2 linked regions of the Macaca mulatta genome follow. The protein of the gene in region 2 purifies or fractionates together with the protein of the main gene of each other region. This does not show direct contact. Links are inferred from orthologs where the notes say so. Each region holds a gene or a part of one and is shown on either strand. Other genes may lie near its edges.

Region 1 (3,650 bases), on a different chromosome or scaffold from region 2:
ATAAAATAGGGCTTAAATTCTGGAATATGAGGGTTTTCTAAATAGAAGGAACTCAGAGGCGAATAATGTAAACAATTTGGAAAGCAAGTTAACAAAGTGTTTAGAGTTCCTTATCTTGTTACATTCCAAGAAATTCTCAAAAATCAGATAAATTATAATTACTTTAACTTCCAAATTAAGAATTTTATATCTGCAAATTGCTAATACTTCCCTAGGAAGGACAGGTCTGATTCCTTTATTCTGAGGAAAGGTGAAGCCAAGCAATTCTTTGTGGGACTGGAAGGTATGGGTTTCCTTGGCTGAGCCATACGAATGGAGAAGAAAGGGAGCAAAAGGTGATGCTACTTTACACTGATGAAACTGAACACGCCTGAGTATTTGGGAGGCTGAGGCAGGAAGATCACCTGAGCCCAGGAGTTTGAGGCTAAAGAGAGCTCTGAGCACATCACTGCACTCCAGGCGGGGCAAGAGAGCAAGGCCCTATTTCTTTAAAAACAGCAACAACAACAAAAAATACAAAACAAAACCAAAAAATAGCTCTCTCACTCAACTGGGTTCCAATTTGCAAAACAAAGACCTTCAAGACATACATCAGTGAGAAAGTCTCCAGTAACAGCAAACCCTACTATTAATCATAATTCTTCCCTCTAGGCAGAAATAGAAAAATGGGTCCACATTCAATTATCCAGCCTGTTTGACTTGGTCAATAACCTACTCCCCACCCCTGCAATATAAGCCAACAGCTCAAATGAGATCTATTTCTCAAAAATGGTTACCTTAGATCCACATGTTTAATGTGAGGCATTTTTCTTAAAGCCTGTAGCCTAAGGGTCTCCATACAGTTTCCGGACATACAAAGTTTATCCACAGCAGTCAATTTCTCCAATACTTCTGGAATGTCAGTAAATTCATTGAAAGAAAGACCCAGATAACTAAGCTGCTTCATGTTCTCCAACTCAGCAGGAAGGGTTTGGAGAAAGTTTCCATCCAACAAAAATGTCTGTAAGCTATTAGAGAAAACATAAGAATTACAAAGAGAATGTATAAATTTTACATCTTTATTATCAACATACAAGTTCCATAGTGTAGATCGTATTACCAGAAAATGTATTACTCTTTGCAAAATGCCTAAGGGCAGGGCCTGAGGCAATAACGGACCAAAGAGAAATAATCAGAGATAAGCATCTTAATCTTTTATTGAAAATGAAAATTATGACTAGCTTTCCCAATCTGAATAGGCTTAAATGGGAGCAACATGAGCTAACTGTGATATAAATTGATTCAGATATCCTTTGGGCTTTCCTTATTATTTCTCAAAATTAATTTCTAAGTCTTTGAATTCAATATAACTCAGAAAAATGAGAACATAACCCACATTCCATGTTTAGACATACTCATTTGCAGGGATCTTCAGTTCTAAACAAGAATATTTAATTTTTTACAAGATCGTAAAGAATACAAATCTAACACATGAACTCCATACAGACTATACAGTCCCTGATCTGTTGATTTGGGGCCAAGACTTACATGACCAACATAACAAGTTAACTAATCTCATGTGCTACACCCCCAATGCAGCTTCCCTGGGGTCTCTGGATATACCCGCCAGTGGGGTTTGAGGTACACACTTGTGCATCACTCCAACGGCTGCTGGGACCGATCGCAGGGCATTGCAGGACACATTCAGCTCTGCCAGGGTTGGAATACTGCAGACTGCTAGTGGGAAGTCCCCTAAATGATTATTGGAAAGATTAAGACTCTTCAACTTGGTGAACCTATTAAAATAAAGCAAAACCAAAAGGGAAAAAAGAGACAAATGTCACTAACATCATAATTTTAGCATAGCCTAAGAGATAATCTAGCCCAACTCCCAAATTCAACTGAAGAGGAAATGGGGGCCCCAGAGAGGTTAAGGAGCAGCAGCGCTGGAATGCACATCTGCTGACTCTAAGGCCAGTGCTCTACCTAAAATGTAAACATTCTATCTAAAAACAAACTTTTCCCTCTAAAATAAGGTTGAATATTTCAGGAAGTGAATTCTGCTGGAGTAAGTTTTTTAGCAGTATCTCAATTAGCTTAATTAACACAGTGTAAATGGCCCCAGTGAAGGAGGAAAGGGACCAGTCAGAGCTGGAGTTAGTCCTTCTGGAATCTGTGCTGTTCCAGACAAGTCAAAAACTTCTGTTTCATGTTTCTCAAACCCAAAAGTGAAATAATAAAAACTTATCAAAACAATACTCTCTCTAAGGTAACCAGGACTTTGCAGTTCCAAATTTAACAACCAATTATCAGCTGGGCATGGTGGCTCAGGCCTGTAATCCTAGCACTTTGGGAGGCCGAGATGAGTGGATCACTTGAAACCAGGAGTTCGGGACCAGCCTAGACAACATGGTGAAACCCTGTCTCTACCAAAAACACAAAAAATTAGCTGGGCATGGTGGTGCATGCCTGTAATCTCAGCTACTCGAGAGGCTGAGACACAAGAGAATCTCTGGGAGGTGGAGGTTGCAGTGAGCTGAGACTGCTCTCCTGGAATATATAGCCTGGTGACACAGTGAGACTCTATCTCAAAAAAGAACCAATTATCATTCGTCGATCTCAGTACAGTAATTGACTGATGCGGCTGACCACCCACCCTTCTTCTTAGCTCTCTTAAGCCTTCTTCTCCTGTATTAACTTCCTTTTCTTCATCTTTTCTTCCCCAACTCAAACTGAAGTAATCTTCATAGATAGTTTTTTTTTTTTTTATCAGTTTCATGCTCTCTCTACACTGTTTTCCTTGGAAATGTTTTGACTCCTATGTGAACAATTCTCTCAGTCCTGTCACATGCTGGCTCCTCTCCTGAGCTACCCCACATTTCCAGCCCAAAACTGAACTTACCATCTTTATTCCAAACTGGCACTTCTTTTTGTTCTATTTTTGTTAATAGCCCTTTCATTTTCACAGTTGCCCAAGCAACTTAAGCAATTAAAGAAGCTATCTTTCATTTTTTACTTCTCTGTGCACTCTTACATTTGGCCTATCAACGACCTCTACACCATCTCTAAATGAGATAAGAATCAGATCAGTGACTGCGTTATGCTAATTCCTTTAAAAACTAGATTACCCACATCTAATACTAGACAGTATGCACTCTGCCTAGAAGAGACACACACACTGCAAAAATAAACGCAATTCAACCCAATCAGCATATGTTAAGCTGTATTCTAAATAGTTAAATAAAAGTTGATTCTAAAGGGAAAGTTGACAATGTACCTATTTGACAGGTTGAGTGTTACCTTGATTTTTAAATAATACCTGTTTACTTGGATGGCTGAGTATAAGAGAATAGTATTTAAAAAAAAAATCACTTAGGAAAAAATTATTGCTAAATCTGAATAATCGTTCTTAAACTGTTTTATATTAGAGCCATCAGTCCTTCTTAAAAGAATGCTTATCCTCAGCCGGGTGCAGTGGCTCATGCCTGTAATCCCAGCACTTTGGGAGGCCAAGGTGGGCAGATCACTTGAGGTCAGGAGTTCAAGACCAGCCTGGCCAACATGGTGAAACTTCGTCTCTACTAAAAATACAAAAAAAATTAGCCAGCCATGTTGGCAGGCACCTGTACTTCCAGCTATGAAGGAGGCTGAGGCAGAAGAATTGCTTGAAC
Region 2 (3,691 bases):
TGGAAAATCAAAGTAGTGCTGGACGATAATGAGTCCTCTCTTCCAATGCCTTTTCTAGTTATTAACATGAATACATGAAAATAAAGTACCTAAAAAGTTTATTAAAGTATAATTTGCATTCAAGGCATAGAGATGGTGTTAAGATATACCTAAAACCGTAAAGTTTTATTATCTTTCAATAATAAAACACATGCAAAGTTGAGACAGTGATACAAAACACTGTTGGATGCACTTTGTGTAAATCCAATTCTTAATGAGCCAGAAATCACAATACTCGTTTTCCAAACTTTTTTTAAAACTTTGGATTCCAAAAATAGTGCTTTGAGTAGGAAAAAAGATGATTTGGTTTGCCATTTGCAACTTTCCCACCCTGTTTTAAAGCAAAACTTTCACAGGAAAAAATATGGCAACATTTGTAGGAGTTACTAATATTTTCTACATCAGTCCTATTTTTCAGGACATGTGAGGAAAAATTATCTAACTAGAGTATTACCATAATAAAATTACTTAAAGCCCAAAACTTCAGCAACGAGTTTCAAATTTAAAATGCAGAGTAATAAAATGAACTACACAAAACTCACTCAAATTCCATCCTTAATAAGCATTTCACGTGGCTGACACTGATCTAGGAATTCACACTAAACTCAGCACTGAAACCATTTTTAAGACCCAAGTCAGGAAGAACTGGAAAAGCTGATCAATCTCCCCATTCTGTCTCCAACTTCACTTACTCTCCTATCCACCTAATGCTTCACCTAATGCTTCTGAGGAAGCGCTGTCTTCTAAATGACAAACTAACCTACGCTAAGTTCTCAGGGATCGCCAAGCATTAATGATTCTGATAAAATGTTTTTCTCGAGAGCCAATTCTAATGGATGACAGAAACTGGATCTCAAACCGACAGAGTAACCAGACTTCACAGGAGGGAAGAATGATTAGGCAGGTGAAATAGCGGATCGTCAGCTTAATCAACAAACCAAACCTCCTAGCCCCTCAAAGCAATGTTCACACCGAGAATGTAACATTTTGCCAGGTGCAGTATCTTCCGTGCTATTATTTCTTGCTCCTGGCTTTCCTTATAACTGGGGGGGGGGGGCTGTTACACGCAAAATATTTCTCCTGTAACTAAGTCAACTTTCGCAGAAAGCACGACGAAACGACCATTATCTGTTGACAGCGTGAATACTCAGTCCCAACAGTTTTAAATTCTTTTTGATATGACACGACTCGATTCCGATTTTTCAAGAAAAATATACAAGGACATCTTCGCCAAGGTTTAAGACGCGGCGTTCTAAACACTTCTGGAAAAAGTGTAAGTGAAAGAAAATGCGCGGTAAAATTTCGCAATTACTGACCGATCCAGGGCAACCTGCGTGGAAACGTTTATTTCTCCCCAACCTTCACCTCTCTCGGGAACGGAAAGGAAGCTGGAAGAACCAGCAGCGACTAGGCTGCCGGGCCGGGGGAGGCTGGCGGCGGCGTTCTCGGCCCACACCCCCGCGCCGGGCGCCCTCGCCGCGGAGTTGGCCTATTTACGCCCAGCCCGCACCTGCCTTCTCGCGTCCCGGCGGCGGCAAGACAGGCGCCCCGCCCGAGGCACACAAGGCTCCCGCTGGCAGCTCGACCAGGGTGCGAGGCCAACACGGTCCCGGGGGTCTCCCCGGCAGCTCCTCTCCCGCGCCGGCCGAACTTGCCCCCGCGCCGGGGCGCCGGCCCCTCCTCCCAGGCCCTCCTTACCTGGTCATGGCCCAAAGCGAGGTCCGCGGCAGTGACGCCGGCAAGTCCAACCCGAATGAGTGTGGGTGCGACAGGTGAGTCCCTGTTCCGAGTCCGCCGGGTCCCCCCGGCCCCAGGAAAATCTGGTCGGATCACCCTCCCCGCGGGGGAGTGACCATCCGCTCCCAAGAGCGGGAACCCCGACCGCCGCTCGGTCCCGCCTTGCACCGGCACCAACTACATCCCCGGAGCGGCGCCTATCCGCGCCCGCCCCGGGATAGCCAGGAGCGCAACAAGCAGCAGCCCCGCTCGCCGAGCGCCTGAACCGCTAGGGTCTTTCGCACTCCGCCACCGAGGGGAACTTGGCGCGTTTTCCTCAGTCTCAGGACCCCCGTGTTTTAGCCTCCGCCCGCGCCAGCGCTGCGATTGAACGTGGCGTCCTTTGAAATTGCCGGTTCCAGTCTCCACGCTGCAGAGACGCGAAAGGCAGGAGCCGTCTCGCGACGGTCACTCGCCCCCGGCACGCACGGGCTCCAGAGCCAGCTGGGACTGTAGCTCCCCAAGAGCCTAACGGGTTCCACAGTTTCAAACAGCGCAGGCAGAGAGCCGGGCAGCTCGTGCGGGTCCTCGCTAAGGGCGCGCGCGAGGTGCTAGCGGCCTGGCTGGCGGGCTCGAGCCTCACACCCTTTTTTTAACCATTCGTGCGCGCGAGTTGAGGGAAACGCGTACGGGTCGGGAGACGGGACAGAGAGCAGACGGGACGGGCCACCGCCTAGAGAAGGAGCCCAAATTCACCAATCCATGATGAACAATCCCCAAAACCGCGCCTCCCACCGCCCGGGGGAAACCAATCAGAAGTACCTAGACCAAAGCCAATTAGAAGGGCGGGAGCAGCAAGTCCCTCTAATAGCAAAAAAGAAGAAAGGTGGGCTCCAGCCAATCATTGTTCGACATACGGAGTGTTCCTCAGGCACGGCGCCCCTCCTTCCGCTCTCATTGGCGCTCGAGTGCGCGCTTTCGCTGCCGACTGTTGAAATCTTGTTTGGCGTTTTGTTAATCCTCGACGGTGGGACGCCGCGGAGGGTGCGGCTTCCGGAGCGAGGCCCTCGCGGCAAGCCCCGCCTCCCTTCGTGCGTACGCGCCCGGGCGGGGTGACCGAGAGAGCCGCTCCGGAAAATGGCTGCCTGGCTGCATGCCGGGGCTTCGCCCGGGCTTTCGGTTTGGAGTCGCGGCCACACTAGGCCTAGGGCCATCCAATGAGACAAGGCGCTGCCACGGATAACGATACATTCTCAGGCGAATGCTGTAGAGCTGAGGCCCACTCCTCAGCCCCTACTCGCCTCATTTTCTCCTGTTTACCCCTCCCCTTCTCGGCCGCAGGAGGAAACGAAAGAACAGTTTCAGGCCCAGCTCCGGCCGCGGGAGCTTCCCAGGGTTCCCGCGCGAGCCCTCCCAAAGAGTTCAGGAGCGGCAGGCAGGCCTCATCTGGTTGTGCTTCCTTTTGTGTTTGTGTGCTTGCTTTGATGAGGTGACCTCAGGTCAAGTGCTGCAATTAAGCAGGATACGTTCAGCCCAGATCCATTTAAATCAAGTATTTTTAAGGTGCCTACTATGTGCCAGGCATTTTTCAAGGCGCGAGGGATGAAAGGCATTCCCTGTCATAAAGGAGCATTACATTCTGGAGACGGAGACATAAGTGACACTAAAATAAGTGATGGGTACAATAGCCTGGAAAGATCTCTTTGAGTTGACATTTGAGCAGAGCTGAATGAAAGCTGAGCGAGCCTTGGAGGAATCTGGGGGAAGAATGGTGCGGGCAGAGAGAACAGCAAGTTACAGACGTCCTGAAGCTTAATGCGCTTGGTGTTTTGAAAAGAAGCAAGGAGGCCAGGGCGCTTAGAGCACAGTGAATTTGGGAAAGAAGATGGGAGGAGATGAGATGAGTGAGACAGGCAGGACCCTGGGTAAGCCGAGT

Evidence for each region. The genes of interacting proteins can lie anywhere in the genome.
Region 1: the proteins of USP1 (region 2) and PHLPP1 purify together in Homo sapiens (affinity purification with mass spectrometry; 6 studies listed by BioGRID and IntAct, counting the BioPlex papers as one, with this or other methods). This does not show direct contact. The link is inferred for Macaca mulatta from reciprocal best matches to the Homo sapiens genes USP1 and PHLPP1.

What each region holds. Positions count from the first base shown.
Region 1 is NC_133423.1:17,992,842-17,996,491, forward strand, and holds part of PHLPP1 (PH domain leucine-rich repeat-containing protein phosphatase 1), read right to left. Parts: intron 1,776-3,650; coding exon 1,629-1,775; intron 1,008-1,628; coding exon 777-1,007; intron 1-776. UniProt on the Homo sapiens protein: Protein phosphatase involved in regulation of Akt and PKC signaling.
Region 2 is NC_133406.1:178,202,303-178,205,993, forward strand, and holds the start of USP1 (ubiquitin carboxyl-terminal hydrolase 1), read right to left. Parts: upstream 2,851-3,691; 5' UTR 2,578-2,850; intron 2,091-2,577; exon of another isoform or gene 1,494-2,090; intron 1-1,493. UniProt on the Homo sapiens protein: Negative regulator of DNA damage repair which specifically deubiquitinates monoubiquitinated FANCD2. Also involved in PCNA-mediated translesion synthesis (TLS) by deubiquitinating monoubiquitinated PCNA.